3 linked regions of the Tribolium castaneum genome follow. The protein of the gene in region 1 purifies or fractionates together with the protein of each later gene. This does not show direct contact. Links are inferred from orthologs where the notes say so. Each region holds a gene or a part of one and is shown in the gene's direction. Other genes may lie near its edges.

Region 1 (8,193 bases):
AAGAATTAGGTCATTATTACTAGATCCGGAGTTTGGTACCGGAGCGCGTGCCGCACGCCGGTCCGGGCAAAATAGCGGACCCGACTAGACTTATTTAAGAAATCGCTCCGGAGGATGCTGAAACAGTAAGCACGGTACGCGCTGACAGTAAAGATTGAGAGTTCTGAGAGTGGTGTGGTTTGTGGGTGATTATTTGATTTTACATTTAAAACCATGGACAACAAAGGTTTTGAATCAGATAACGTGAGTTTGGCTTTTTTGCTTCGCGATAAGAAATTTATCGGCCAGTTTTTTTTTTTGGTAAAAAATTTCTGATTGAATTCGTGCACTGATAAATCTCGTAAATAGTTGGTAAATTTCACGCATTGACATTGATCCTGACGAAGGCGAAATACACCTCCCACGCAATAAAAATGCATCATTTTCACACTTGGACAATTAACCCGATTTTGCAACATTCAATTGCAAAGGATGTGATTAATGCACTCGTATTTCGTGCTGTGGCAATTAAAGTTTTAATTAAGAGAAAACACGGTGCATTCATGATTTAAAGGGTCTCTCGGCTTGAGAAAAAATGCATGACGTTGAAACCCTACCCAAAACCTTGACTCAGTTCCTTAATTACATCAAATCACAACGGACAATTAATAAACAAAACAGAAAAAATAATTACAGCTCGCAGCTCGTGAAAGTAACTTCCTTGTGAAAAAATCGTCCCTTTTGAATCAATAATTTTTTCGCCGTGCACGGCCGATTAAAATAAATGAGAAGTTTGTTGTGTAAACACGCATCCTCTTGTTTTCCCATTATTTAAAATAAGGTAAACAGACTGGCATTGACCCGAAAACACGATTAAAATTATAACTTTAAATGAAGATTTTTCAACAAAAAATCCAAGAGTCGCACCACCCCGGAAATTTTCACTCACATGTTTATGTAAGCAAATGAGGAAGTAGTAAAAATGAGCGAATATCACTCGAATTAATTCAGAGCCGAAATGCTCGCTCTAATAATTTCACCAAACCCGGGAGAAAGGATGATTATAAATATTGTTGGTGATAATGATTCGTTTCGTGCATAGTAACTATTCAATAAATTAGAATATCTAGATTGTCTACTGAGATGTGCAGTGGAGGTCGCCTTCGAACGCAGTTAATTGATGTTGATTAATACCGCACTCATTAATCGCTTGCAATTTACATAAACCTATAAAGTTTAGGTCGCTAAACCTTCACTTGAAACTTTGTAATTTATCTTCCAATTGTTTCGTCCGAATTGTACCCTTGAACGTTTCAATATTCTTCCGACTACCAAAAAGCACCAAGCACGCGTCTCTGTTTGAATTAAGTGATTAAAACATGATGCAACAAGAAAATCCACAAATGTCGTCACTTGCAATGAGCAGAATCCGGAATGTGTCAAAACAAATATTAATGGTTTGAAGCAAGGACGGTTCGATTGTGAGAAGACGTAAATAAAAACATCGCCGAATTCCAGGAGAGAGGTTACAGTCATTATCGCCTGAAAATCATCGGAAGAATACCGAGAAAAAGGCCACTAGTGAAAAATTAGACTACAAACGGCGGCCGTGACCGAGATAAAAATGTATTAGCGTGTTTCACTGATTACTTGTCAATCTTCCCAGCTTTTATTAAGCGGGTGATTAAATTCAATGCTACCGAATCAAACAATAAAATGCCACAATGTGTATTTTTACCAACAAAGCCAATTATTACAAAATGTCATACAAACACGATCTATAAAATAAAAATGAGCGTCACGTTCGGCGCTCAATGAAAAAAACACGGGCTTAATAAGGAAATTGTACATTGATTAATAAAAAACGAGGCCGAAATCAGAATTAACATAAATTAATCCGAAATTTTTATGAACGGTACGAGAATGTACCGATTTCGTTTTGACACCTGCTTACCGTCTTGCATAATGCGATGAATTAACAATAAATACGCGACCTTCGATATTAAATAACCACTTACTTTATTACATTAATATTGATTTTTGCAGACTCCGGCAGAGCTCAACAAGAGCTGGCACATCCCCAGACCCACACTAGCTAGAAGCTCAAAGAGTTCGCAGGGTTCGACGTCTAGCAATAATAGCACACAGGTACAAATAAAAAAATTAAGACAAGAAAATCATTGGATTTTTAGAGTGCAAGGTCCGGTTCGTTACTACTGACAGCAGCAAATCTGGCCCAAATACAAAATCCGGACACGGACAAAAACACCAGACAACAAAACATTCAGTATTACCTCGAACAAACAAACAACAATGATCACATAGCACTGCCTGTTAACGATTTGAAGAAACCAGACCCAGATGCTGTTTCAGTGGCAAGTTCGATGCATTTTACCGTAGTTAATATGAACACGAGACCTGTGGTCAGGCAAAGAAGTTTCTGTCGAAAACACCAATTGACGATTCTAGTTTTGACGATGTCCGCTTTGTTTACCATAGGGATCTTGGCGGCGATATTTCTCTTAGAAAGTAAGTTCTTCCGCTTTCATTTCAGCCAATTTCCAATTTTTTATTGTTTCAGTGAGGGCGAAAAGACAACGGTACTAGGATTAGGACAAGCATCGACATTTCTCCAAAAATTGACGAAGCATTGAAATGTCGTGCGCACTTATCGTAGTTAGTTATTTAATTCCCTATTTAATTAGGTTTAGCAACTGGACCAAAATTGTGGTTGTTCTAAATCATAAGCTATCCATAAGTATTTTTTGATGTTACTGTGATATGTAAAAGCAATCATTACAGCATTGTATAGTATTTATGAACAATTTTAAGGCAGGTCCCGAACCTCCTTGGAAATCTTGTAAATTGATTTTTAATTAAATTATACAAATAAATTTTCTACAAAACTAAGACTTACCTCAACGTCTTGGAGAGTCTGCGTCCACCTGTACTTGTCCAAATCACATCCATTGCCACTGTTTGGCTTCAATTTCCCAATCTCTGAGGCATCCTCATCCTCTTCAATTTTCTCAACAGCTGGGGCCCCATTACTCACCCCACTTTTCTTAGCATCTAACTCGGCTTGCAACTTTTCAGCCTCAGCATCAGTCAATTCGGTGATTTCCGCCGGTTTTACCTTCTCCTCTTCTTGCTGTTTCTTCTTTTTGGCGGCTTCACGTTCCCGACGCTCTTTTAACTCCGTCTCGTGTTTCTTACGACTAACTTGTTCGTATTTCCTAAATGTGCTCATTACTAACTAAAAACCAGGTCATTATTTTTCGAACTGGCTTTACCCCGGACTACCTTTTCCCATGCTCCTTCCTCGCCCCCGGTGAAAAAATCCGTCTTGCGGCTTAGAAAACTCACAAAAGTGTCCAATAACTACAGTTTTGTCGTGATTTTAAGGTTAGAGTAAACAGATCGAGGCTCACCTGCGAAGCGCCGTGCGGATGGTGCTGGGCTATTGACAGGAAGAGGGAATCGAATTGCTCAGTCTGATTATCATCGCCACTCATCTTGACTGGACTTTTTTCGTGAAAAAATGGTCAAAAATCGTGGAAATTGCTAGACTTTTCTTCTATCGACCAAATATCAATTGTACCAACCAAACCAATCGGCGTGAAAACTTCCAAAAACGGTGCTTGTACCAACATTGATGGGTCAACCGAATGTGGGAATTTTAGCCAAACGGGGACCACCCTCAAATTAAAATTAAAACATGCAAAGGGGGTGTATATTTCGATAGTGCGAAGCTTATTTCCTATTCGTTAAATTTCCCAAGGGTTTATTTTAGCTCTGTTTTTTTTTTGTACCATTGGCGGCACTTTTTTAGTAACATACGTGCTCGATTTTTCAATGGAAGCCAAGAATTGTGTTTTGCGCTTTGTGAATGTGTATTGCGCCAATTTGTGAAATAATCAAACTGATTACGATTTTTTACAAGCCAGAAGTGTAGAGTTCACATTATCGCATTGTTTTTGCCAGTCTCCCGGTGTCCTAATTATCTCACCTTGCAATTACGGAACTGTAAAGTATTTTAGGTTATGTTAAACTACCTCATGCCCTTTATTTTATAACGTTTTGAGCCAATAATGTCGGAAAACAGCAATTCGACTTCTGTTATGTCAGAAGTCACAACTCTGATAAGAAACTGGGAAGATGAACATACGGCGCCTAATTATGACCCCATTCAGACACTCACCAGGTAGATCTTGCCTTAATTTGGCAAATTCTTACCCTTTTGTTGGCAGATTGGCCGAAATATGCGAGGTGGAGACTGAAAATTACCTGAAAATGGATCCTGACCCATTTGATGAACGCCACCCTTCACGAACTGATCCTGACTGCAAACTTGGCCAAATTTTAAAAGCGCTTTTTAGGAAGGATATTTTTATGAACAAAGTATTAACTCTCCACAAAAACATAAAAAGACACACATAAATATTTTTTCAGCTTGTTAACGATTATTTGAGAGAAACGTACTACTCTCGGTCAGGAATCACAGACAAGGATGTTGATCAGTTGAATATTGCAGCTTGTAGGTTGATGCTAGACGTAATGCCTGGCTTAGAGACATCAGTGGTGTTTCAAGTACGTGTCAATTATTTTTTTGGGGGGAAAACTAACGACTAGTTTCAGCCCGATATGGATAATTTGATTCACCGTTTAATTAAATGGACTACAAATTCAATAGAACCTCTGCAAAGTTACGCAACGGGGCTTTTAGCTGCTGCAATGGAAATTCCAGAAATTGCCACACGTTTTAGGTAAGTTTCCGCTTTGGTCTTATCGCAGTTAATTACCAAAAAATAGGGAACAAAACGGACGACTTGTGCCTTTACTACTTCAAAGACTGCGTAGGCTTCAAAATTCCTCGGAATTTTTGACCACGACAAATACTCGACCTTTTGCACACTTATCTTCAATGAAGTCGCCCCCTTATCGCGGTGACGGTGTCGTAAAAGTTTCACCCTCTGGTATTAAAAGGCGTACGTAACGACACCCTATTGTATTTTACCCTTCAATAATTATTCTTACAGCCCGCGAGAATGGAGTTATTCCAAATTCGAAAACAACACTTAATAAAGAAAACACTGATGTGATTAACACTAGTGAGGTAAGCGCGCCTTTTCCTCCTCGTGATATGGTCTCACGTTTAATACAGTTATCAGATTCGGAAAGCGGCCAAAAACGCAAAAAACTAAAGCTGGAGCACAATTCAAGCGAAGCTGATGAAGGCTCTCCTCAAAAACCCTTCCTATTTAACGAAACGAGCAATTCGTCGTGGGCAGAGCTTGAAAGTTTTATGATTGGAACCGTGCAAATTTTTCCGCCAACTATAGCAACGCGTCAAATACTCATTTTACGTTATTTGACACCGTTGGGTGAATATCAGGAGTTTTTGAGTCATGTTTTCGAAAATGACGCTCTTAGTTTGGTCTTAAAGTATGTGAATGTCCGAGCGACTAAAGAAGCAAGACTTGCATTTGAAGCCTTGAAATATCTTGCTGCTCTTTTATGCCACAAAAAATTCTCGATTGAGTTTATTCAAATGGATGGTCTTGAGGCACTTCTGGAGGTGCCAAGGCCGTCAATATCAGCCACTGGGGTCTCGATTTGTTTGTACTATTTGGGGTATTGTGAGGAGGCAATGGAGAGGGTTTGTCTGCTTCCGAAATACATGATCACCAGTTTAGTCAAGTAAGTCTAAGTTATACCTTACAGTTTGTAAAATCAATTAAAACTCATAATTTAAAAAAAATCTTAGGTATGCTTTATGGCTTTTGGAATGCTCACACGATTCGGGCCGATGTCATGCTATAATGTTTTTCGGTCTCACGTTTCAATTCAAAGTGATTTTGGAGGAATTTGATGCTCATGATGGGTTACGAAAGTTACACAATGTGGTAAGTTTATCCCAAGTAAAAAAAATTGTTTGCTAGAGTTATATGTACAGATTTCTACTTTATCAATTTTACTGCCGGACACCGATACGACTCAACTAAACGAAGATCAAGAGTGCGCCGCTCGTCAAATCGTTCGCCACGTTTGTGTTGCATACCGTCGTTACCTTGAAGCTCATCTAAACCTAAAAGTAGAACCAATTAAAAGATCACAACTTAGACTTAACGAAAAAATGGCACAGCCGCCTTTACCGGCGCAGCCGAGCTACAAACCGTACAAGTCATCGCCTGAAGAGGTGCAACAGAACGTCGAAACGTTGTTGCAATATATGCCGTTTCGGTGCCATTGGACGCCAGTTGATCAGTTACTCAAATTAGGGGGAATCACACTCTTGTTGAAAATAATCGCGTTTGCGTATGAGTGGAATTATAGTGGGAGGGCTGAGACGGTCAGGTCGGCTTTGGATACGTTGGCTATTGCGTGTGTGATGCCTAAAGTTCAATTGTTATTTTGTGATAGGGTGGAATTGCCAGAGGAGAGTGCCACAGTTGGTACGAGAAAATCACAGTTTTGGGATTTTTTATTGTTTTTTTCTTCTGTAGGGATTAATATTATTTTGGGGGCCGCTGAGGGTGAAATAGTGGCCGATGCTGATGTACAAAAGGCTGCGCTTCGAGTCATTGTCAATTGTGTGTGTGCCCCCATAAATAGGGTACGTTTTTTACCGTTTCCAGACGTTTGTTTGATTTTTTTGTTAGGTTGGTGGTACTTTAACCCGATATTCGGCCACGGTTAACAGCCCAATTAAGAAAATTAAACTCAAAAGTAGCGAAGAATTGATTCAGAGAGTTTGGGATTGTGTCAGGTCTAATAGTGGTATTATGGTTTTGTTGCAATTAATGAATATTAAAACACCAATCACTGATGCGGACTGTATACGAACTTTGGCTTGTAAAGCATTGGCCGGCTTAGCACGGTCGGAAACTGTCCGACAGATCGTGTCAAAATTACCGCTTTTTACGAGCGGACAACTGCAGAGTAAGTCTTGATACGAGGCGAATCCGAGTGGGGTAACAACTGACTTAATTGCAGATTTAATGAGGGACCCAATTTTGCAAGAAAAACGCCAAGAACATGTGACTTTCCAAAAATATGCACTTGAACTTTTGGAACGACTTTCGGGGAAAACGAAACATCGGGGAAATGACTTGGAAGTTTCTTTAGCCAACATACATAGAGCTAACGTTGTGGCTCAGACTAAAATTCAATTCAATGATCGGCAATTGTTACAACTCATCCACCAACATTTAATTACGAAAGGTTGTCCAGAAACGGCCTCTATGTTAGTGAAGGAAGCAAATTTGGGAAACTCAGTCACGCCCATTTCAACAAATCAACCAACCAAATTCCGATACTCGTCCACTCTAACACCATCTAGGGTAAGTAGCAATTCACCAAAGCTATAATTAAGTGTAACAAATGTCTTAGCTTAAGTTAAATTTCACTCCAATGCAACACCGCACAATACCGCAGTCACCAGTGCAAAAGGAGGAGACATCGTTTATTAATAGTTCCAACTGTACTTCCCCTGCTATTAAATTAATAAAGTATGGTCGTCATTGTAGATAATTATCATATTTTTTGCTAAGAAAAAATTTCAGGAAACACCAAAATCAAGTGGTCGCGACACCACCGGTCCAAAACTCCCGATTACAGAAACAAACGAATAGCGATGTTGTAGTTAGGGTGCCGAGTCAGAGCTTGCTTGACGAACCGACGAATCCACCCGAACAGCCCCGAGTCACGCTCGATTCGATCATAACCGAGTATTTAACCAATCAGCATGCGTTATGTAAAAACCCCATGGCCAACTGTCCCAAATTCAATCTCTTTATGTAAGTTTAAACTCCTATGATTGGTTGTGTTTCTGATGGTGTTTTCTAGTCCACATAAATGCCCAGACCCTAAACCAAAGATAGCCTCAGCCAATAATTTTGTGGTGAGGTGTGCGCGACGTGCTATTGGGTATCAGTCCAAGTCTATGGACCGGAAATTTATTCATTCGAGATTTTGTCCAGTTCAAACGATTCGGTCGTCGTCCGATGGCGATTTCTTCACTTGTGCGAAATTTTTACCGGGTGATAAAAGCATAATCGTGGGTGATTACAGTGGTGATATACGAATTTTTAATCTGCATACTGGAAATGAAGAGTTTATGTTTCAAACGCACGATAATTATATCGTTCATTTGGAGCCTAACAGGAGTGGGGAGTTTCTGTTGACGAGTTCCACGTGGGGGCGGCCTCTGTC
Region 2 (8,191 bases), about 14 Mb from region 1:
AAAAATAATATTTAATTTGCCTTTTTACAGTGTTTAACCACGTTTTTGATGTGAAAACCAAGCATTAACAATATCACCAGAAAAACAAAAAACTTGTCGAAAATACATATTAGCTGTTTCGAATCTATAAAAATATGTCGCATTTTAGTTATTAATCATTAGATCTCTATCATTGAAAGTACAAATTGCATTAGCTATCAATATTTTGATATTTTGAAGTGCATGAATAATTTATAACAGCTAATTTTGAGAGAAAATGCGACGTTGCCGTTTTTATATTTTTCACACAGCAATAGTGACTATTAGTTTTTGAACAAAACAATTACTTTGAAAGTGGCGGAATTAGGTCGAACATGATCTTATTTTTTTGTTTGAGTCCATATTTATGTCATCAAAAAATAAACTGACAAAACCTATAAATTGGTAGAAAATGTATTATTTTCATCTTTTTCAATGTCTACCCCTGCTGTTTGAAAACTGTACGTGTATTTTTAGTTTTTTTAATGATATTAATTTAGTCTGGTTTGAAAGTCTCAGCATACACAATTTTCTCCAAAATTGTGTAAAGAATTAAGCCAGAATAACAATAAATTACTGGCAAAAATTGTGGTCTTGTTCTAAATGGTCGGTGAGTTGTGTTAGAAGTTGTATTACTATTTTTACTTTTTTTGATGATTGCGAGTTAGAAGAACTATTATTTCGCAAAATTATTTTGTTAAAAACAGGACGAAGATTTATCAAATTAAGCCAAAAATTATGTTATCAGATAAGTTTGCCTTTTCCCACTGCATAAGCAAGCACGTATTTTAAACAATTACAGAATTAGGTCGGAAGCGATATAATTTTGGTTGTATCACTCGATTTTAGTTGATTGTAATTTCGTCAAAAAATAAAACACAAAACAAAATTTTGTTCAAATTTTGTTTCAACTTTACCAGCCAACATGACCAGAAAATATATGTTGGTTGTTTAGGGCAGGGAGTAATTAAAATTTATAATTTTGCGACGTTTCGATTTTTTATTAAATCTTCATCAGACACTCCCTACCCTAAACAACCAACAAATCTTTCCCGTTTTTATAAGCATATTTTAAAATAAAATTTTTAGTTTACTGATCTTTGATCTAGAAATTTCTGTCGGATTTTGCCGTTTTTTTAAGTATTTTAGCATGTACGGTTTTCTCTCGAAATTAAAACACAATAGTCAATAATAATTAGTTCCTTCAAAGATAGTGGTCAGTCAGTTAAAAATCCAAAATTTCGTTAAAAACTGTTTGAAAATATTTTTTTTGTAATTTGCCGCCCTTTTGATGTTTCAATGGGCATCTTAAAGCACGCAACGTTATCAAGAGCGATGTCATAATAAGATTAAGACTCGTCTTATAAAACTTGTTTTTAATGTACTATAAATTAGGTCAAAAATGATGTTAAATTTGCCTTTTTACAGTGTTTAAGCACGTTTTTGAAGTAAAAACAAAGTTTTTTCAACAGTAGCGCCAAACAAATAACAACTTTGTCAAAAATGAAGTTTTCAAACTAAATTGTCAGTTTTTTTGAGATTTATTTTATTTTATTATTCTTTTTGTCATTTTCGAGCGTTTTGCTAAAAACAAACAGAAAATGAGAAAGTTTTGCCGAACATATTTTAATTATTTTTGCCTTTTTTGATTTTTATTGGCGTGTTTATCTTTAGGTCATTCAACAATTCAATAAAGAGTTTGAAATTGAAATAGGCAAAGAAATCAATAAAAATGAGTTTTTTTAACAAAAAAATTGATTAAAGACATAAAAGCCCATTTAGCTACGTTTTCGTTCCAGAAAAAATGAGCACCCAAAAAGGTAACGCCCAAAGGAGTCGCTCCCAAAAACATCAAAACAAAACCGCCTTCAAAAACACCCTCCACGACACAAGTCAACGCACGAAAAACATTAACAACATCCAAATCAGCGACGTTTGTGTCCGTTGCAAGGAAATAATCGAGTGGAAAATAAAGTACAAAAAATACAAACCGCTCACACAGCCACGAAAATGTGTCAGATGTGATCAGAAAAACGTGAAGAAAGCGTATCATGTGATGTGTACAGACTGTGGAAAAAAATTTGGTGTTTGTACAAAATGTTGTGAAACGAAAGAAGTTATTACAACAAAACCGGACGAAAAGGAACAACTCAAACTGGACAACGAAATGAAGAATTTGCTACATACGCTTCCGGAACGCAAACGGAGGACGTTTTTGAGGTACATGAGCAAAAAAAGTGAGGAAGATTCGACGAATGACGAGGAGAGAAAGGAAGATTTGAAAAGCAAACTCAACGCGCTTAAGATTGACGATGACTTGGACGACTTCAGCGATTTTGATGACGTTGATTCGTCGGATGATTAAATTTTGTAATATATTGGTTGTAGAATTTAATTAAAATAATAAAATAAAAGAGCGAATATTTTTATTTGTTGCACCACGTTCTGTCAAAGCGATCTTATTTGTCATTTCGGTTAATTATCTTGTAATAAATTATATGCGTCCTACAGAAATAATGGAAGTGATGACGTTAATTCGTCTAATGAGTAAATTTAATTAGGTATTTGAATTTAATAAAATTTGAGGAATATGTTAATATGTTGCGTTTAAGTTTGGCGCCACTTGTGACATTGACATCTGTCAAAGGGTCAAAGCGCTGTCATTTGTCATTTTGTTAGCGGTGTTATTTATACATTTTGATTCAATTTCTTGTAATAATTAATATGAGTACGAAAGAATCAATGGAAATGGAAGTCGATAATCCGGCTTCTGCTGATGTTGCAAATAATCCGGCGGAAGATTCGGAAAAAAGTGTGATGGCAGCTGGGGCTGTCGGTTCTGTGACTTGTTCATTGCACCCTTTGGTGATAATGAATGTTTCTGAGCACTGGACACGTGAAAAGGCTCAAGAGGGCTCAGTCCAACGAGGTACGACACCATTTACAGTATAGTTAGTTATTTATAATGTTACATTTTAAGTGATTGGGGCTTTGATTGGTAAACAGAAGGGGCGAAACATTGAAATAATGAACTCATTTGAACTGGTATTTAGTGTAATTGGAGGGGATGTTATTATCGACAGGGATTATTACAACATGAAGGAAGAACAATGTAAGTATGTACCGTGTGGTCAACGGAATTTGTAATCACTAATCAGAGTAGGGAAGATTTTTTCTGTATGGTTGGTTGCGTTTGTTGTAATTGAGACTCATTTATTTCTTCAATTTCATTGAATAAGATCTGTTGTAAATTATAATGAAGTTTAGCCAGACTGCAAATTTTTTGTGGGAGGTAGGCAACGTTTAGGGTTACCATCAGATTTTTTTTAGCTTTGGACACCACAATAAAATGACTAACAACAATAACTTACATTCTTATATTATCGTATTATCGTATATAAAATACTCTGGTAATGGCATCTTATTACCTGACTTCTCGTTTGTATTAAGAATTTTTACTTAGTTTAATAAAAATAAATTTATTTTCAAATAAAATATTACAAAACCAAAAAAACATTGCCAATAGTTTTAATAGTATGTACTGATACAAGAAATATAACAAACAGCATTAGTATAAAAAATATTGTAGTAATAATATTGTACAGAGTGCTGTATTTTGGATGTCGGAATAGGAGATCTCCGAAACTAAGAGATTTAGAGAAAAACAAGTGACACATTCTTGGGTCCGTTTTTTGAGAATATAATCTTGGTCTAAACCGCATCTTGCTATCGTTTTTTGTTTTCGACTTATAAACAAAAGTTGACATTTTAGTGTCAACTTTATACAGAAAAAGCGAAATGTATTTTTTTTAATATTTAAAAAGAATGTATTACACATCAAATCAGAAAAAAATTAGCTTTACAAAAATATTACAGCCTCCTATAATTCATATTTAAAAAAATAAAACTTATTACAGCTAAACGAAAGGTTAAAAAAATCGCTGATAACATTTTTAAATTCTCTGTAAAAAGTGCTTGTATAATGTTTGTGTTTCAAATGTGTATCTTTTATAATAAGGAAGATATATATGATTTTTTTTAAGATTTCGTTAAAATGTCAAGTTCTGTTGATAAGTCGAAAACAAAAGATGATAGCGGGATGCGGTTGACCAAAATTATTTTTTAAAAAAACGGACCAGAAAATGTGTCACTTGTTTTTCTCTAAATCTCTTAGTTTTGGAGTTCCCCTATTCCGACATCTAAAATGCAGCAGCCTGTACAATGAGTGTTAGAATGATTCACATCTAATCATCTGTGAATTTCTCATGTAAAAGAACATATAACTAATGATAGGCATTTAGACATTGAATATTAACATTCTGTATTTATTATTTCAAAGTTAACTAGATGAGAATCATTTAAAAACACATTGTATAAACAGTAAACCACCTTTCTGCATCATTTTTTTTGCAAAACTATCCGGTATCCTGTTTGCAAAATGTAAATTCAATTTTTAGAAGTTGTATATCTACATTTTTCCAATTCACTCCAAGTTTTTTTTAATATTCAAAGTATTTGTTGGAAACAACTAGATAGTTTCGAATTCAGAAAAATTACAGATGGAATTAAGCGTTCTATCGCAGAGTTTTTAAAATTGGTCGTTAATTTTAATTTTAGATACAACAAAATTTAAATTACCCTAAGAAAACTGGACATTTATTACAAATTAACATTTGATCCGGATACCGGACATATCGTCTAATATCCGGATTGTATTGAGTGAAAACCGGACAGGTGGCAACTCTAACAAGGTTGCTATAAACTGTAAAGTATGGATACAGTAGCTGAAAATTTTATAAACAGTAAAGTTCATGTAAATGCGGAATAATATTTTTCTGACTCCTGTGAGTTCGCAGTAAAGCGATGGCAGTCCATTTACCGAATACGGTGTATATATTTTTTCATTTTTTTTTTTATTAATTTTTCTCAAGTTTTGCGCTTAGTTATGACAATTATTCGCCTTTCAAGTTAAGACCTTTGGTTTTTCTGGTTGTTAATTGTGAAATGCTGCTTTGCCATATAGCGGGAAATTTAAATGTAATTTTTTTGAAAAGGTACAAACGTTTTTTGTCTGTTTGACACTTTTAATAGATCTTTTATGGTACTCTAGCTGCCAAAATCAAATTTCGCAAGGGAGTGGTTCACCAGAGAGCGCAGAGATCTTGGCTTGAAAGGTGAATACAAATAATAAAAATAAGAAAACTACTCTTATTGTAAATTCAAACACTAGAAAACACAAAAATTGTTTGTTAACAATCTATTGCAGTCAAGCAGGTGTTCAGTGACATGGATTTCATTGGTTGGTACACCACCGGAGACATCCCCAACACCACTGACATTAAAATCCATAAGCAAATATGCGACATTAATGAATCTCCAATTTTGCTTAAATTAAATCCCTACGACAAAAACATTGATGTTCGTACACAGGCTGCATTTTAAGTGTTAGTTTTAACATAATTATTTTAGCATTTGCCGGTTGCTCTTTACGAGTCTGTAATTGATTTGATTGGGGGCGAAGCAACAATGTTATTTGTTAATTTGTCTTATACTCTGGCAACCGAAGAAGCAGAAAGAATTGGAGTAGATCATGTGGCGAGAATGTCTTCAACGGACTCAGGAGAAAGCTCTCTTGTTGCAGAGCATTTGACAGCGCAACACAGTGCTATCAAAATGTTGCATTCTAGAGTTAGGCTGGTTTTAGAGTATATGAAAGCTGTACAAAGTGGACAGTTGCCTACAAATCACGAGATTTTACGAGAGGCTTATTCGTTGTGTCACCGATTACCTGTTATACAAAGTGCAAGGTTTCGACAAGATTTTTATAATGTAAGTATTTTTTGCACACGTAGTTTTTAGTTATCTGGAAAGCAATTTTCCACATTTTTGGCCGCGACAACTGTCATTGACATGTTTGCTCGTCGAAATATGAATTTATCGAAGAACTGTCGTCGGCCAAAAAGTTTTGTACGTTAGGTATTTTACAGCGTTCAGTTTTTGTCAATATTAAAACTTCACGCTGTGAAATTAAACCTATCGCACGTATAATGTAAATAAATAACTATTGTTGTACTTACTGTCACGTGTTTTTACAGCAATGCAACGATGTGGGCCTTATGACGTATTTAGGGACTTTAACAAAGGGCTGTAATGATCTCAACCAGTTTGTGAACAAATTCAACATTTTGTATGACAGACAAGGACTGGGCAGGAGGATGAGAGGAATTTTCTTTTAATTCGTAAAAAAAGCAATTTTATTTATAACCCTCAGTTCTGTATTAAAGTTTCTATTAAACAATCCTTCCATATTACAAATTGTCTTTTATTGTATTTTGCGGCAATTTTTATCAAAAGAGCTTATAAAAGGCAATGATACTTGTATAAAAATTTTGGGAAGACTACAGTTTGTAATTTCTTCTTCACTTGAGTGGTGATTGTGTGCGGTACAGAGAGATGTTTGTGATTTTTATCACAGAAGCAATTTTTAAATAACTGTTATTAACACAACACGGTGAATACACAAAAAATCTCCCTGTTTTTACAAAATATTTGCTAACTGCTGCTTCTAAACCCCACATTAGTATAGAAGTGGTTTTTTTACACAATGATAATCTGTTAGTTCCTCTCCAACAAAAATATTTTCAAGATGGCGGCCCTTTGGCTTTATCGGAAAATCATATGTATACAGGGTGTCTCAAAATTGACGCCCGTGCTTTTAGGGTTTGCTTCAGAAAACTAAAACAAATCGAAAGCTGGAAAATTGTCTGATTGTCCTTCGTTATCGAGTTATTGATAAGAAACTAAAATTTAGATATTAAATTTTATTAAAAGCGAATTTACTAAATTTGTTGTCACAAAATAAGCTACAATGCGATTTAGAAACTTTTCCGTATATGCCCTAGCCTCTGCAGCGGCATTGCCATAATACACACCTGTAACCGAGCTTTTAACAATCGACAAATCTCGAATGTAATAATGTAGTAGTATCGTATCATTTTAAACATACAAAACCGAAAGAAATTAATAATACTCCTCACTAGACAGAGTGATTCAAAGAATTTTAACATCGCTAACGTCAACTAATGAATTATGTTCCACAAATAATTGGTAAGACATAATAAGCTTATTATTTACATTTTTCTCAATAACTCGAAAACTAAAGGCAATTGGATTTTTTTTTACTCTTAACTTTCGATTTGTTAATACAATCTAGGTAGTTAATACCTAATACTAGGTAGTTAATACTACCTAAGTCAAATTCCCAGCGCACGGTCGTCAATTTTGAGACATTCTGTATATGTTATTTAAATATTTATTTTAAATGGAAAACTGACTATTGCACTTTTGGATTACGGATGAAGTTTTTATCAGCTATATCTATACCTCAGTTTAGCCGTTCTTGAGATATTTACACTTTTTAAAATTTTGTTTGGAACTACACCAGTCCACTTCAGAAATTCCTTTTTTAAAATTTTGCATTTTGATATTGCAAACTGATGAAAAAAATCGGAATGTTTGAGAAAACTCTGATATGAACAAATGAATGGTTCAGTTAATTCAATTTCTTTTAAAAACTATAAGGTTTTTTAACAATAGCTTATTATTAATCATACAATAATCTACGATATCCGAAAATTTTAGTTCAAATGGTGGTTTAAAACATCTAAAAATAATAATTCTTTGAAACCTATCAAAGTCAAAAACGAACAATTTTTAATTTAGAAAATTGTCAGATTTTGAGAGTAGTTTTTGGCGTAAACGTCTAGTCTGGTAGAACTTTATTAAAAAGTTCACATTGGAAAAAAAATTTGAAAAATTTCTTTCCTAATAGAGAGACACCGCCATTTAAATTTATTTTATTTTATACAATGTGTTCAAGAATAGCAATTGAATTCAAATTCAGTGTGCGCTTTGTCAAAATGACTTTTGTAGTTTCTCTGTCAGATCTTTGAATTAGCTTTTTACTCACTTTTTTGCATTTATCGGCAAAGTTGTTACAAGTCTAAGGTTTGTCTTGATTTGTGTTTTATATTTCCGTGATTTTTGTTGTTCTGTATTCTTTAGTTTTTAGATTCGAAACCTTTTGTATTATTTTGACGACTCTGTCACTTTGACGGCTTCACAATTTGAATTAAGCGGCACACTACGTTCAAATTTCATAGGTGACTTGATG
Region 3 (8,244 bases), on another chromosome or scaffold:
TCTTCAAATCCATGTTGTTGTTGGTACATCAGCAACTGCAGTGCCTTCCTCACAAGCGATTAGAAAACACTGGATGCAATTAAACTCGTCGGCGGTAATTTGCGTTCAACTCGTTTTGTGAAGAAATTTTGATATCCCCCGAGTTAGCGCGGTTGACCTTTATCTGTTAACTATCCCGTTAATATTTTTTCCTTTTATAGCACAAATTTTAGTGTTTATCCTAATACTTACGCACGTACACAGCCAGAACGTCTTACCAGCTTGTTAAAGATATTCATTGGGTTTTTCCCAGCGACTTGAATCTCGAACAGTTCCTTGCTTTTTCAACGAAGACGGATTTATATCTAAATTTAGTAACTGTTGATAGGTATAAATCAACTCATTGATTTACCAATACGTAAATCAACTCGAAGAACTTATTAGTAATGTGTACCTATCGGTTTCCCATTTGGCTATCCCTCTCTTGAAACCATCAACATCCGGAAACTTGTTTCAAATAAAAAAATTGATGTCACTCGTTATTGTATGGAGATATGACTAGTCATTTCATACCATAATTGAGGGAATTAACAATCAAATAGCCACTATTTGCAATATTATGTAAAAATAAATCAGCTTGGAGCTAGTTCTTGAAGCGAGTTGAAAAAAATATTTCCTTGATTTTTCGAAGGTAGGTAAGTGGGTTCGTAACTATCAAAACCGTAAAAATTTTCAATCAACTTTAGATCGTAAAATTATTTCAAATATGGTTTTCTACAGACGTAAATGTGCGATGATGTATTTTACAACACTCTAGGATAAACAGTTTTCGAGAATAAATCGTTTTAAATTATTGAGACAAGTTAAAAAGTTACACATATTAGATTATAGCGGAATTTAATTTTTTTCACAATTTTATCGATTTTCAAGATGGTTTGGTTGTACGATAATGACAACAATAGAAAAATATAAAGCAGATTTAATTCGTTTGATCAAAAATCAACCCTCTGGTACAGGACTAATTACGATATTTTTATTTTCTGGTTAAGCAAAAACTTTTAAATAAAAACCATCTTTGTCTCCACTTGAAACCCTCCATTTTTTTGGTGATTTTGTCAAGACGTGTCTTTTTTAATGACAAAATCGCGCTTTTCGGAAATGACTGATTTTTCAAATTTTTTTCGGCATTATTTTTTTTCAAAGTTGGCCGTTTTGAAAAAAAAGAACTTTGCGTGAGTGAGAGGCTTGATACGACATCTGTAGTTTGTCCATCAAAACTACACAACTAAAGGCCGCTTCACAAAACAATTAATTAATGTGACGTAAGTAGCAACTTAATTCGAATTAATTTATTCTTGAATTATAAGTTTTAATCCGCTTTTTTTAAATATTTGCATTCATATTTTAATTCGCGTAACAATTTAATTTGAGTTAATTTAGCATTAATAAATCGATGAAAGTCCATTTTGGATATTGCATCTTAGTTGGAGAATTGTTCGGCCCCCACTGCGTGCATTCGTGTCTCTTGAGAAATTAGCTACGCCAAAACCATTAGAAGATTTTGTAATAAAATAACCAACAGTTGAGTTGAAGCTCAACTAGAATTCGCTTTCTGGTTGGGAAACAAAAATTTGAACCCATTTATTGCGTTTACTTTTATTGTAAAGTAAATTATTTGCGAATGAAAACAATAAAATGTCGGTTCATGTATCATTGCACTTGTAACGAAATTGATTTGTCGATCGAGACGTCTTAATTGATTCGCCAAGCAATCACATTGCTGAAAAACTGGTTCTGCGGCGATGTGTGAATGCAATTGCAGGGCCTGGGCCAACCCACTCGCATCTCCCAAACCACTTCCCTGATAGTGGGGACATTTCACCGAATACTCCACCAAACAAAGCGGTCAAAGCGTCAAAAGACGCACTCTTTTCGTCTTTGTGACACTCATAAATAATAATAATAATAAATAATAAGATTATGTATTGCTGTAAAGAGCACTTTTGGCACAATTATAAGACAAAATATTGTTTTATATCCGATTTTGATATTGTTTTTGATTAAGTGGATATTGTATTGCTGGTTATACCTGCCTGTCTATACTTTGTAATACGATTACCTTTTGTTCTGAAAGTTTTGTGTAATTCAATCGGCTTCACAGTTGTTGATGCAGTTCTATATTTCTTTGTTGTAGAAAAATGAAATCGTAAAATGTATGATGTGATTTTCTACGTTCCAATGTCGGCCAATACACAATAGAAAATAGTTATTGAAAAAAAGTTAGTTTCCAGTGCAGACATGCAATTAGTCACGTTGTCTCATCATCGCTTCCTGGTAGTGAAAGTTAATAACATCTGATAAGAACTCGCAGATTATCATCCACACGATAAGCTTTGGTGGTTTGAAATGTAGTAGCAAAGCAAATCATTTACCACCTGCCTACTCACGAAATTATCTTTTAATTTGTTTTAAATGTTTAGGTACAGTTAAGTTTCGAGCTTTGAAAATACAAATATTATGAGAAATTTTTGGTTTTTGTTTTCTCTGTATGAAATTATGATTTTTATGTGAAAGCACTACAAGTGTGGCATTGTGTAGTGATTTCGATTATATTGACGTAATTACGCCGGCTGGCATAACTTTTGAGAAGTCAATGACCCTTAATTGTTGAGTCAAGGACGAACTGGCGTGAATATATTTTTCGGAAGGGTTTTGTGAGGGGTGGAAGTGAATAAAGTGGTGAAAAAACGTAAAAGTGTTTGTTTTCTGTTTATTGTGTGCAAATGATTGATAATAAGCGGAGTAAAAAAATATTTGTTTGAAATTTCGAAAATGGGCGGCTCTAACTGGCTGGGATAGACCAATGGTGTCCGGGTAAATTTGAGTCGAGGAGGGTCGAAGACGGCCGAGAGGTTTTGTGCAGGCAAGCAGCGCCACCAGTTGGAGCACTAGCACTAGATCGGAAATATGGCTGTAAAATAACCAAAATCCCTTTGTTATAGTTAAAATGTTTTTGTATTAAAGTGGAGGCCAAACGCGTGTCGCTGGTGGTTGGCGGCTCAGGATGTGGAAAAGGGTCCAGTGCGAGTAAGTCCGTGTATTAGTTAGTGGTGCGTGCTAGTGATGGTTGGCCATCAACCTCTGGGCTTGGGGAAAATGAAACGCGCTAGAGATGTCTAGCGCTGCAGTGGCCAACTCGTTGAAGATGCCGATGTCCCGCACCCAGCTGTTCTCCTCGCACTCGTACCTGGCCGAGGGGGGCGGCCTGCCCCCGCTGAAGCCGGCGGCGAAGGAGCAGAGCCCGCCCGCCGCCGCCGCCCCCGGCGGGCTGCCCGAGCTGCAGGTGGTGGGCTCGTGCGCGCTGCAGTGCATGCAGCCGCACATGCTGCGCCCCAAGGGCTCCCCCGGGCCCCCCGACAAGCACAAGACCATGGTGGCCACCCCCGACCAGGTGATGAAGCTCTACATGAACAAGCTGACGCCCTACGAGCACCACGAGATCTTCAACTTCTCCCAGATCTACTTCATCGGGGCCAACGCCAAGAAGCGGCCCGGGATCATCGGAAACCCCAACAACTGCGAGTACGACAACGACCAGGGCTCCTACCTGCACATTCCCCACGACCACGTCGCCTACCGCTACGAGGTGCTCAAGGTGATCGGGAAGGGCTCCTTCGGCCAGGTGGTGAAGGCCTACGACCACAAGAACCACATGCATGTGGCCCTCAAGATGGTCCGCAACGAGAAGCGCTTCCACAGGCAGGCTCAGGAGGAGGTGCGCATCCTGGAGCATCTCCGGAAGCAAGATAAAGACAACACGATGAATATCATACATATGTTGGATTCGTTCACGTTTCGTAACCACATGTGCATCACTTTCGAACTTTTGTCCATCAATCTCTATGAACTTATCAAGAAAAACAAGTTTCAGGGCTTTAGTCTACAGCTAGTACGCAAATTTAGTCATTCGCTACTACAATGCCTTGATGCGCTTAACAAAAACAAAATTATACACTGCGATATGAAACCGGAAAATGTTCTGCTGAAACAACAAGGAAGAAGTGGACTCAAGGTTAGTACAACCATGCTACACCCCCCAAATTCACAACAATGCCAAAAACTCACATCCACGTGTGGGTGGAACACATGCATTTCAAAAACTACAAAACAAACCTAACAGTTTTAGTTTTTTATTTTTATTCATATTGTGGGGTTGAAACTGGGCTAGAAATGAAATTGTACATTTATCAATTTTTTATCGAAATTTAATTCGGATTTAATGGACAACAAAGACTAACTTTACATATCGCACATCCGGAAGAGAGGCAAAACTAATTAATTATTAAAAATTTCAAATAAATTTGCCGGCTCATGGCTGCAATATAACTATATCTTTCGGTTTTATATTACGAAAGATAATTATTTAATGTTTGACATTTTTGCACGTGCGAATGTTCTTCCGCAGGTGCGATTAATTATCGCAAAAATATTCGCATAGTTATGTGAAGATTTGCAAAATTGGCAATAACACTTTTTCCTCTGATAACATTTACCATCAGAGATTAGGTAAGTATTTAAAATGTGCACACTCACGGGGAAATTCGTAATCTAAATCTTCGTCACAGAAATGTAGGAAACTGAGGAAATTGAATAAACATACAGGGTTGTTCTAATAATAATAATAATAATAATAATAATAACTCTACACGTAGTAAAAAAAACACGTCAACAGATACATTAAAATGACAACCGAAGTGGTACTTAAAATCTACAAATTTTGGAAATTTTTTTGAAAACACACGATACAAAGTATTAATCTATGAGTTCTGTTCGTTATAACCGGGTCCCACTGTAATAGTTTTGGGAACTGCAGTTGTCGGAGGATAATTGCCAGTAGTTTGGAACATTTATTGATGCTCAAAAACTGATCGAGTGCAGATATGGGAAAGCATTGCTATTCTATAATAAATAAATGGGAAGTGTGGTAAAAAATAAATCACTCTTGATTTTGTCTGAGCCAAATAAAGCGTAACTCAACATTATCCGTAACTACAATCTAGCAATTGAAAGACTATAACTAGTTATTAACAATAAGTCTGACTTCCTGTTTGGTCCAGGTATTTATTATCCTGTATATGCTTCACATAGACTGGTCACGATATTTGATGCATCGTTGCTTTTTCATTATAGTTGTAGAAATGGTGGTTTTTTGTCACTGAATACAATAGTGAAAACAAAGAAAAACATGTTCTTACTGAGACAAAATTAAAATTAAACGCCAGAGGAACTGTGCTACAATAAATTTAAACTCGGCGACACTAATCTAAACTTAGCTTTCTAAACAAAACAATGATTTCTTGTTTTGGTTAATTGATCAGATTAGAACGTGATGAATACCCCGATTGTTTTGAATATAAGGCAAACCGCAAGTTTAATACAATTTTATCGTATTCAGTTACCGAGTGCAATATTCGCCAATATCGATCGGTTTTGACAAGAGCACTTTCTACGAATTGATTGTATCTCAGCGAAAGATTGTCACTCTTGACAGCCATAAATTTGGACTTTATTATTTTAGAAACTGCACTTAACCATGAACAATGTGTCTTAAGTTCAACATACCTAACTATGAAGCACTTAAGTGGAAAGAAATCTACGACAGCGTCTTGGACAGGTTTTCGGCTTTATTTTATTGTGGCCTGTTCTAAATCTTCAAAGTGCTTTATTGTGGGTAACCCACTTCTATAAAATTTGTCATAAATCGGTTTAAAATTATGCCAAGGCAATACTATGGCAAATATGGATGCAATCCATTGTGAACTTGTGTTTATTGTTTGCAAAATTCTGCAATTGCACCTACATAAACATCGTTTCGTAATATAAAATATTGCCCAATTTTGGGATTTGATGTAGATTAGATAAAATCTGTTTCTTATCAAACAATCAAACTAATCACAGTCAATATGGAAATATTCCACTAAGAATCGGTTTAGAAGCCTCTAGAAGCGCGAAATGTCATTATTGTTATTATAGCGTGTCTGTTTTTGACACATTTGCATAATATTGCATGCAACGTTCAAATATGCAAACCACAATTATTATTTTGACGTATCAATACACAGAATAGACGCTTCTAATGGTCAGGCTTGCAAAACACTATTGATTTAATTTGTTTTTTTATAGTCAAGCATAATACTAATTTTAGATATTTATATTTTCACCTATCACGAAAGCGCGTGTATGTGACAACCGAAAACATTACTTTATAATGTGGTGAATTAAATCTGCCAAACTTTTGAATGAACCATTTATTAAATTAAAAATAATAACAATAACGGAATATTCAAATACATATTTTGGTTTTATTGTTGACTTATAATTTCAAATTGTTCTAATTTTTTATGTATGTGTACATAAATAAATAAAAAATGTATTATTTCTTGAAACAAGAGATGCGTAACACCGTCATTATTAGTTGCGTTCCAATGAAAAATGGCGTCTATCCTATTATTTAATAAATTCAGATTGTGCAAGTTTATTTATATTATGAAATTAATACAAAGAAACTATTCTGATTATTTTAGATTAAATTTTCTTATAATGATGCGTATTCACCTTTTATTTCAAAGAAATACGATTAATTGAATTAACGAAATGCTGCTCTTTGTGTGATGGATTGAAAATATGCACATCATTTAAGAATAAAATAAAACTACTCACGTAGCTTGGACTGGAAAAAGTGTCCATTTGTCTCGATATAAGTTTGTGCAGCGCTCGATTAAAATTGTTATTAAATTTATTGTTCTGTTGTGATTGCCATGGTAGAATAATAAATATAATCACAATTTCAATAGAGCTCGTCACGAGACTGGTAAATATTTTTCTTTGGTTAGTTAGAGGTTTTTGCGATTTCATCAGTTGTTTCAAATGATAGGTAGGTATACAACTAAAGCAGTACTTATGAAGGCATTTTTTTATTTAAAAACATACATTTATTCTTAATTTTTTTTAATTATTACCAGAGTATACAGTGGAGATATAAATTTTGCTTTCTTATTCTCCGATATTATCGGAGAATTGGATCAAAAATCCAAGTTTATTCCTTTTTCAAGGCGTTTCAGTTTGACTCACAGTTTCCACAGTTAAATCTAAAAAATAGTTAGGGGATTAAATTGTGGATGTCGCGATGTTATTTTTATAAATATTTTTAGTGGATCTTTGTATTCAGACTATACGTTTTGTTGTGTGTAGGGAAATTCTTCCTAGGTTTATTTTTAATTTTGATAAATTTGAAACTTAAAATATTGAAATGGTTCCAAAAGAATTAATTTCGATGTCAATATTTCAGCGCGGCGTGAGTTTTTTGTTTTGTCCAACTTATTAGCAATTTTTTCCGCCTCGCTTAATTTTTGTTGTTGCAGGTGATAGATTTTGGTTCCTCCTGCTACGAACAAAACCGCGTGTACACGTACATCCAGTCCCGTTTCTACCGCGCCCCGGAGGTGATCCTGGGTGCGAAGTACGGCATGCCAATCGACATGTGGTCCCTCGGCTGCATCCTAGCCGAGCTCCTGACGGGTTTCCCGCTCCTCCCGGGCGAAGACGAGGCCGACCAGCTGGCGTGCATCATGGAGCTGCTCGGCATGCCCCCGCAGAAGCTGCTCGACCAGTCGAAGCGCGCCAAGAACTTCATCAGCTCGAAGGGCATCCCGCGGTACTGCACGTGCACGACGATGCCCGACGGCAAGGTCATCCTGAGCGCGGGCATCAGCCGGCGCGGGAAGCCGCGCGGGCCGCCCGGCTCCAAGGACCTGAAGCGCGCGCTGAAGGGCTGCGACGACCCGCTGTTCCTCGACTTCATCCAGCGCTGCCTGCAGTGGGACCCCGAGGTGCGCATGACGCCGAGCGCAGCGCTGCGCCACGCATGGCTGCGCCGCCGGCTGCCGCGGCCGCCCAATGAGAAGGCCGAGCAGTCGGCGGCCACGCCCACCGGCATGCGCACGCCGAAGAGCAACACGCTCACGAGCAACAAGGTGCGGGTGCAGCTGAGCGAGGAGCGCTCGGCGACGCTGCACTCCGGCAAGCTGCCCCCCGTCACGTAGCCCCCAGCCTTCTAGGTTAGGTGACCATATCGCGCGAGCGGTCTTGTCTTGTGATGCAATGCGGACTGGAATGTGTACATTCCGACGTGTCAATTTCTCCATCCCATCGTTTCGTTCGTCTCATCTTATTTATTTATCGACAGTGCTCACGCTCCAATTAGAC

Evidence for each region. Proteins that work in one complex are often made in the same cells at the same time.
Region 2: the proteins of mahj (region 1) and CSN6 purify together in Homo sapiens (affinity purification with mass spectrometry; 7 studies listed by BioGRID and IntAct, with this or other methods). This does not show direct contact. The link is inferred for Tribolium castaneum from reciprocal best matches to the Homo sapiens genes DCAF1 and COPS6.
Region 3: the proteins of mahj (region 1) and dual specificity tyrosine-phosphorylation-regulated kinase 2 purify together in Homo sapiens (affinity purification with western blotting; 5 studies listed by BioGRID and IntAct, with this or other methods). This does not show direct contact. The link is inferred for Tribolium castaneum from reciprocal best matches to the Homo sapiens genes DCAF1 and DYRK2.

Annotation. Positions count from the first base shown.
Region 1 is NC_087398.1:984,615-992,807, reverse strand, and holds the start of mahj (protein mahjong), read left to right. Parts: upstream 1-3,802; 5' UTR 3,803-4,070; coding exon 4,071-4,183; intron 4,184-4,229; coding exon 4,230-4,380; intron 4,381-4,431; coding exon 4,432-4,569; intron 4,570-4,617; coding exon 4,618-4,745; intron 4,746-4,791; coding exon 4,792-4,967; intron 4,968-5,018; coding exon 5,019-5,095; intron 5,096-5,143; coding exon 5,144-5,679; intron 5,680-5,746; coding exon 5,747-5,885; intron 5,886-5,935; coding exon 5,936-6,434; intron 6,435-6,485; coding exon 6,486-6,595; intron 6,596-6,641; coding exon 6,642-6,921; intron 6,922-6,975; coding exon 6,976-7,322; intron 7,323-7,371; coding exon 7,372-7,490; intron 7,491-7,544; coding exon 7,545-7,778; intron 7,779-7,827; coding exon 7,828-8,193. Other genes in the region: uncharacterized protein LOC656652, read left to right, coding at 214-243, 2,026-2,127, 2,172-2,508, 2,561-2,586; nuclear migration protein nudC, read right to left, coding at 2,897-3,235, 3,283-3,360, 3,411-3,494. UniProt on the Homo sapiens protein: Acts both as a substrate recognition component of E3 ubiquitin-protein ligase complexes and as an atypical serine/threonine-protein kinase, playing key roles in various processes such as cell cycle, telomerase regulation and histone modification.
Region 2 is NC_087398.1:15,419,049-15,427,239, forward strand, and holds CSN6 (COP9 signalosome complex subunit 6), read left to right. Parts: upstream 1-2,656; 5' UTR 2,657-2,742; coding exon 2,743-2,947; intron 2,948-2,998; coding exon 2,999-3,130; intron 3,131-5,284; coding exon 5,285-5,436; intron 5,437-5,487; coding exon 5,488-5,847; intron 5,848-6,113; coding exon 6,114-6,254; 3' UTR 6,255-6,333; downstream 6,334-8,191. Other genes in the region: uncharacterized protein C9orf85 homolog, read left to right, coding at 1,823-2,383. UniProt on the Homo sapiens protein: Component of the COP9 signalosome complex (CSN), a complex involved in various cellular and developmental processes.
Region 3 is NC_087403.1:4,163,677-4,171,920, reverse strand, and holds the start of dual specificity tyrosine-phosphorylation-regulated kinase 2, read left to right. Parts: upstream 1-2,709; 5' UTR 2,710-3,151; coding exon 3,152-4,051; intron 4,052-7,400; coding exon 7,401-8,081; 3' UTR 8,082-8,244. Other genes in the region: serine protease inhibitor 77Ba, read right to left, coding at 1-13. UniProt on the Homo sapiens protein: Serine/threonine-protein kinase involved in the regulation of the mitotic cell cycle, cell proliferation, apoptosis, organization of the cytoskeleton and neurite outgrowth. Functions in part via its role in ubiquitin-dependent proteasomal protein degradation.